Linked DNA regions of Arabidopsis thaliana. The protein of the gene in region 1 purifies or fractionates together with the protein of each later gene. This does not show direct contact. Each region holds a gene or a part of one and is shown in the gene's direction. Other genes may lie near its edges.

The links. The genes of interacting proteins can lie anywhere in the genome.
Region 2: the proteins of AT5G46630 (region 1) and AT5G22780 purify together in Arabidopsis thaliana (affinity purification with a luminescence readout; 2 studies listed by BioGRID, with this or other methods). This does not show direct contact.

What each region holds. Positions count from the first base shown.
Region 1 is NC_003076.8:18,918,522-18,922,276, forward strand, and holds the start of AT5G46630 (Clathrin adaptor complexes medium subunit family protein), read left to right. Parts: upstream 1-1,916; 5' UTR 1,917-2,058; coding exon 2,059-2,141; intron 2,142-2,308; coding exon 2,309-2,486; intron 2,487-2,601; coding exon 2,602-2,692; intron 2,693-2,816; coding exon 2,817-2,911; intron 2,912-3,064; coding exon 3,065-3,154; intron 3,155-3,238; coding exon 3,239-3,287; intron 3,288-3,379; coding exon 3,380-3,518; intron 3,519-3,593; coding exon 3,594-3,710; intron 3,711-3,755. Other genes in the region: AT5G46620 (uncharacterized protein), read right to left, coding at 332-607. UniProt on the Arabidopsis thaliana protein: Subunit of the adaptor protein complex 2 (AP-2). Adaptor protein complexes function in protein transport via transport vesicles in different membrane traffic pathways.
Region 2 is NC_003076.8:7,596,395-7,600,149, reverse strand, and holds the start of AT5G22780 (Adaptor protein complex AP-2, alpha subunit), read left to right. Parts: upstream 1-2,036; 5' UTR 2,037-2,321; coding exon 2,322-2,447; intron 2,448-3,225; coding exon 3,226-3,357; intron 3,358-3,729; coding exon 3,730-3,755. Other genes in the region: RER1 (reticulata-related 1), read left to right, coding at 109-173, 562-755. UniProt on the Arabidopsis thaliana protein: Subunit of the adaptor protein complex 2 (AP-2). Adaptor protein complexes function in protein transport via transport vesicles in different membrane traffic pathways.

The sequences.
Region 1 (3,755 bases):
CCAATCTTGAGGCCATATTAAAGTGAAAAAAAAGCAAGGCACCCGCACAGAACATGAAATGAATGTAGGCCACAGAGACGACTGAATCTTCGCAAACTCACAAACCAATTTATTATCCAACTTAGTGTGATCCAAACCAAAGGTATGAATACACAATCCAGCTACAGAACTAGCATGAAACTGCACTATGTGATACCACATTACAGATCTTCGTAAGACTTAACCATAACTCTTTATCTAGCTAGCAACAAGTAATTCACATATTCTCATGAATTTGATCAATCCCTAGAGTTTCACTAACCAATATCATCAGTCAAAAAGGAAAACTGACCTGAACACCACCGTCTAAAGCAGCACAAGGCTGAAGAATAGGACCAGGATTCGACCGTTCAACAGCAACTTGAACCGGTACACCAAAACCTTTCCTTGGTCCAGTTTCACGAAATCTCGTCTGATTCTCTTCCCGACGTTTATCTCCATCACCAGAAACAGTTCCAGTGTTGTTATCTCCACCATCACCATCTTCATCTCTCACAGCTCCATGACCACCACCACCATCGTTATGACCAAAACCAAGTATACCCGTTAACTTCTTCAAAAAACCCATTAACCCCAGATATCAAATTCGATCTAAAGCCCTCAAATTTAACAGCTTTTCTCTCAAATGAATGATCTTCCAAAATTAGGGTTTTCGAATATCCCTTTCCTCTCCCGATTTTTGCTACTTTCTCCGATCGCTTCTTAATCCAACAATATTCATTTCCTACTGTTAAAACCCAGAAATCTCTGTCTTTAATCTCTCTCTCTCGTGAACACTGTGTTAATCTTCTTATGCACTGCAACAAATTATAGAAAGATGAATTTTTTTTTGGATCAAAGACGGATCGAGCAAGATCTTCTTTTTATCATTAACGGCGCGGTTTCTATTAATATACTAAATAAATATTCCACATTTTTTTTTTCTCTCGTGAGTGAACAAAAAAAAAAATTGCGATCATTTACAGTTTTACTTTTACACATCACTGACATCAGAGAGAATTGAACAAAAAAAATTCGAAAAGTTTCGTGTTAATCATATATATGAAAGTTGGCTAACTCTCTCCAAATGATTGACACATCATCATTTTAGCATTTGCCATGTGTCTATTAAGTAATTAATGTAAGCTCTTCAACTTCTAATTTATAAGTTAATGATATATTTATTATTTAATTTTACATATTTAATTATAGTATTACTAAATTTATTTTAATATTACATGATTTTTCAATAAAACCATTTAATAGTTTTCTCATACTCGAAGATTTTTTTTTGTAATCCAAACTCAAAGTATGAGTATATAATAGTCGTGGATTATTTAATGATTTGAGTAAGTTATTTTCTTAAATTGATATTATATTCTCTTAAATTTATATTTATACAATAAATCATTGAGGTTGAAGAATACGTAAGGAGCTCCATCATCAAATTCTTAGGTTTCTAGAATCCAAAACTACCCTCTCTTAAGTTGGTTTAATACAAACGTTATTTATGAATTATGTGTATGATGCATTGTTGAGAATGTTGTTAGAAAAAATATTTTTAAAATTAAAAGGAATTGTTTATTGTATAAGTGAATAATTAGATAAATAAAAATTATATTTAAATTAAACAATACGAAAAAAATCCGAAAATACCGCGGCGTAGCGCAGGTGATCACCTAGTGTTAATAATTGAAAATTAAGAACTTCTATACATTGTTTGTTACCTAACCATTCTTCATATGTAAACAACAATTAAAAATGATGAAGGATATAATGTACTACAGGCCCATAATTGAGACGCACAGGCCCAGAATCGAATAAGACCGGCCCATTCCAAAATGACGACTGAATTCAATTTTGTTTCTATTTTTTGATAAAAAAGAAATTAAAAAAATATCGCATTTCAGTTGTTCAACTTCTTCGTCGTCGTCTTCTTCCTTTGCTCCGTCGTCGAGATCTCGTCGAACCTCAAATCTCAAATCTCCTGTAACCAGATCGTCTAATTATCCGATCTGCGTTTCGAATCTCAGATCGAAGATGCCGGTGGCTGCTTCCGCCATCTATTTTCTGAATCTCCGTGGCGATGTACTCATAAATCGCACCTACCGAGATGACGTCGGGTAAGAGAGCTTCTCCTTTTCTTCACCGTCGATCTCTTTAATTTTTTGAATTCGGCTTCATTTTCAGCTCCATGTTTTGTTCTTATCGCTTCTAAGTAGTCGTACTTTGTAGGATTTTAGCTGTGAGATTTGAGATTTTAAAATTTTGATTTGATTTTGATACTTAGGGGAAACATGGTGGATGCATTTCGTACGCATATAATGCAGACGAAAGAGTTAGGGAATTGTCCTGTGCGTCAGATTGGTGGCTGCTCCTTTGTTTATATGCGAATCAGCAATGTCTACATCGTCATTGTTGTCAGTAGCAATGCTAATGTTGCTTGTGGATTCAAATTTGTTGTTGAGGTAAACTTGTTTTTGTGTTTCATTTTAATATTCCACAATTGTTTTGATTCTTGTTCAAATTTCAAGAGAGTCAGATTGATTCTATACACATACTGCTTTTGATTCACATTTTCAGGCTGTAGCTTTGTTCAAATCATACTTTGGTGGAGCTTTTGATGAAGACGCTATTAGAAATAACTTTGTTCTGATTTATGAATTGTTGGATGGTAAGTAAGCCTGATAGGGTCATGATCAAATCACTTTCTTATCACTTGTAAAGTTGCATTAGTCGTTATATGTTATTCTATTTTGTGGTAACACCAATGAATGATATTTTGTATTGAATTGCAGAGATTATGGACTTTGGCTATCCACAAAATCTCTCACCTGAAATTTTAAAACTTTATATCACTCAGGAAGGTGTACGGTCACCATTTTCATCGAAGGTAAAGGCATCTATTTGTTTGTGTATACAACAGATTTTGTAATTGTGTTGGTGTGTGGTTCTTCGAAGTTAAGCAGTATTTCCCGCAATAAATAGAGATTATGTTGCTTCTTCACTAGATATGTTTGCATTCATAAGCTTCTTTTCATTACAGCCAAAAGACAAACCTGTTCCAAATGCAACATTACAAGTTACAGGTGCTGTTGGTTGGAGAAGAGAGGGCCTTGCTTACAAAAAGAATGAGGTGAGTGTTGAGTTTCTTTCTGTGTGTATGTAGATCGGCTAGGTTGTGCGGTAGTGATGATATTTTGCATTCTCTCAAACGCAGGTGTTTCTGGATATTGTGGAAAGTGTAAACCTTCTGATGTCCTCTAAAGGTAAATAATTGCCTTTTATGAAGTTTTTTGAAGTTGTCTTTCTTGTTGATTTGCTGTGTATGACTGGTTTTGCATTTTATGGAAACGGTTAGGCAATGTTCTTCGGTGTGATGTGACGGGGAAGGTTTTAATGAAATGTTTCCTTTCGGGAATGCCTGATTTGAAGTTGGGGTTGAATGATAAAATTGGTCTTGAGAAGGAATCAGAAATGAAATCTCGCCCAGCTAAGAGGTATACGTTGTTAATACATTGAACATCAGTAGCCACTGACTTTTCTTTGTGCTAACTGACTCTCGTTTTGTGCAGTGGTAAAACCATTGAGCTTGATGATGTCACATTTCACCAGTGTGTGAACCTGACCAGATTCAACTCCGAGAAGACTGTTAGTTTTGTACCACCGGATGGAGAGTTTGAACTGATGAAGTAAGTTTTCGAATGTCCACTGTTGCAAATTGTTCTGGTACCAAA
Region 2 (3,755 bases), about 11 Mb from region 1:
ATTCTTTCACCATCGACTTTATCTTGCTACTTTTCAATGATGAAATGAATCTTCTGACTGTTTAAAAAACTGTTCTTCACTGAAATTTGAGGTTACCTTTGTTAATAGGAGTGTGAAGAAATCAGAGGAAGACGTCCCTATTCCACCTCTTTTCGAAAGCGCTGCTCTCTGGGGTAAGCTTTACTTTTGATCTCTAACTATGTTCTACAGAATCATCGATGCTTTTCCCCTCTGATGTTCACTGAAAACGATAGTCTTGAACCGTCGATATTGTGTTGTCTACTCTTTTTCCGAGTTCTTGTGATCAGCCATCGGTTTCTTAACCGGGCTTAGTTTCTTAGAAAGGAAAGAACCTGAATTGCCAATGATACCAAGAATAGATTATGCTTACAATTCTATGTGAAGATATTAGCTACATTGTCCTGTTGTTAGCAATATTAGATCAATGGAGAGGGTAATTTAGTTGCTGAGCTCAGAGATAACCCTGAAGTTTACTCTGTGAATTGTTGATTACATATACATATATATTCACTCTCTTCTCTGTATTGCGCTGTTGTTCAGGTGTGTTCCTCGGCTTATCTTCCAATGCGCGTTACCAAATCATCAACGGCCTCGAACGCGTCGTGGAAGGTTCTACAGCGGCCAAACGTATCCCTGTGGTCGCTATGGCATTCACGGTGGGAGTCCGGTTTGCTAACAATGTGTATGGCGGTATGCAATTTGTAGATTGGGCTAAATTGTCCGGCGTTCAGTAATCAACCGGTTCGGTTTTGTTACAAACCGGATAGTAAACTAGCCTAGATGTCAATCCTCAGGAGTATGAGAGTATCTCTAATCTGATGGGGAAGTTTAGTTATCTGAGTTTCATTAGTGTGATTAGGTTATTTACCGAGAGCTACAGAAAGAGAATCTGGTTCATGATACGGACCGGATTCTTCTAACCGGAATACTACTCGATACAACATTTTCAATTTGGTTTTGGAAGTTGAGTTTCTCATGGTATCCTTGTCTCTCTTATTCATTTTTCTGAATCATATACTTGCAATAATGACTCAAACTTTTTATCAGCCGTTAGCCTCTGCGTTTTTATAAAGTTTATAACAATATGATCACAATGGCGAATTATGTCAACTAAACGTCATTTTTGACGTTTGCGTTGATTCATTCTTCTGTGTTTTTTTTTTCACTTTTCCCACCGTTAAAAGTGAGAAGGGGAAAAGGAGAATTGTTGGTAGGTGGAGATATTAAAAGTAATAAATAAAAATATTTAAAGCAACTATGAGTGAGTATATTACAAAAAAATCTTTCGATATTTATTTGCAAGGAAAATATTCTTAGGATACTTTGATGGTAAGGCATCATTCGATAGATGGAGGATCTTGCGAGTGACAGCTTAGTAACCACTGTCATCCAACTGCTGCATGATCCTCATCTTTTGTTCTCTTGTTTCTGTTTTGTGCCCCTTAATGATATTTTATTTATACTCCTTTACTTAATTTGAACAATTTATATTATATGCCCTATAGATTAATTAATGTGAATACCAAATGGTAATCAAAAGCTGACGACTGTTCAAAGGAACATTGTCCTCCCAAGGAAGGTGAATCATTTGATTAATCATCCCTACGTTGGGACCATAACTTGACCTGAATTTAAAATCCGGTTTTTTCATGGTCTCATGGTATGGTTATGTACTTATGTTATACTGAAATACCAATTGAATACATAACCGCGGTGAAAAACAGTTTAAGATTTTGAGACAGATTGTACAAACTTCGTTTTAATGGTGCAGTCTTTTGAGAAATGGCCAGCTTTCTTCATTTTTAATATATAAAATTAGTTTATTCCATGTTTATTTTTCGAATTACTCGTTTATTTTTTGTATTTCTCGAACTTGTAATCTTAAATTCGTCTGTTTAGCTCGTTTTAATTTTTGTTTTTTTTTGTAAACTCGTGAATTCTGTTTTTGGACGAGTCAATTTCGAATTTTCCAAATTCGCATGTGTTCAAAAATCAAAACAGACGAAACTGAATAACACAAAATTGAATAGTCAAAGTTGTAAATAATAAAAGTCGTCCCTCGTCTCTTCCCGCAGGCTTGTCTCTCTCTTCTCCAAAGATCACTCTCTCCTTTTTGAATTTCGTCCATTGGAGGTGTCATTTTCCGTTTCTAGATTAGGGTTTCGATCTCAGCTCTCGCGAATTGCTAATCCTTCAGCTGTGGTCTGCGCTTTCTGTCATAGTTAGATCCGGTTTCGCGAGTTCGGATCTGCGCCGTGTGAGGCGGTGGAGGACGGTGGATCTGAGGACTCTGTTCCACCATGACCGGAATGAGAGGTCTCTCCGTATTTATCAGCGACGTTCGTAATTGTCAGAACAAGGAAGCGGAGAGACTACGAGTTGATAAGGAGCTCGGAAACATTCGTACATGCTTCAAGAATGAGAAGGTTACTCTCAATTATCTCCATTTTTGTTTGCCTGTGTTTTATTCTCATTTTGAGTGGTAATTCAGTGACGGAGTAGTATCTGCCGAGGTTCTGTATTGATTAGATATATTGGAGATTTCTCCATGAAGCTACCTATTCCTCTGAGGTTGATTAGGGAGTTATATAAGAATGTAGTTGAAAGAAAGATGCAATCACTGGCCGAATATTTTATTAGGAAAGCCAGAGTTGCCGAGTGGATAGTTTTGGAAGCCTGTAGTTTCTTATTTTATCGGATTCAGGCTATAAATTTTTGATATAACACTAAGTGTGTACCTGGACAGGCAGTATTGTATAGCTAGCTCAGATCGGTAGAGATTAGCCATTATTCTACCCTTTGTAACATCACTAGTACTGCTTTCAACTTTGGAATGTCATTACTGCATTTAAAGTCCATAGATGGGAGAAGATCAATCAAGATATATAAGACACTAAATATATGATGATATTTAGGAACTAGAAGAAAAGAATGGCCTGGCAGTAAATTCGGTTATGTAGTGATGGTCTAAGGAAAGAAATACAGATCACGGAAAATTTTGAAAAGCTCATTACGAAATACATTAAGCTTTGTTGCTGTAAGAAGTTCTGGAGAGATAATCTGGTTCCATACTCTACGTAGTAGAGCTGTAGCCGGCCTGTAGTGGATCCATGTGTGGCCAGTTGGACCAACACCAAACTTATTTTAAAATGTTAGAAATAAATTAATCATGCACTCTTACTTTAACTTGTTTTATGTTTTCAGGTCTTAACACCATACAAAAAGAAGAAATATGTCTGGAAAATGCTTTATATACATATGCTAGGCTACGATGTGGATTTTGGCCATATGGAGGCAGTTTCTCTTATATCTGCGCCAAAGTATCCAGAAAAGCAGGTAAGCCAACGTTTTGTAACCAATGAAATATTGCTTTCTAAGGGTAGGAGAAGATAATAGGTGTGTGTGTGGTGGGGGTGGGGTATTTGTTTGATTCAAGTCTAGTGAGCAAGCTGAAACAAAAAAAAAAATCTCTGAAGATAATGGATGCTGGATTTAGATACTATTTCACAAGCTTGCAACTTATTCAGTTTGAATGGACCTGGTAAAGTACTGGAGGCATTTACTTAGACGCATAAGTTACTTAGTAACATCGTAGCAAATCTTAACCAGGAACCATGCATTGTATCCAAGGGTTTGTATTTGCAGTTTGTATTATTTTATGCTCACTACCAAATTTGCAGGTATTGAACTTTTCATCCATAATTTCAGGTTGGCTACATTGTTACATCTTGCTT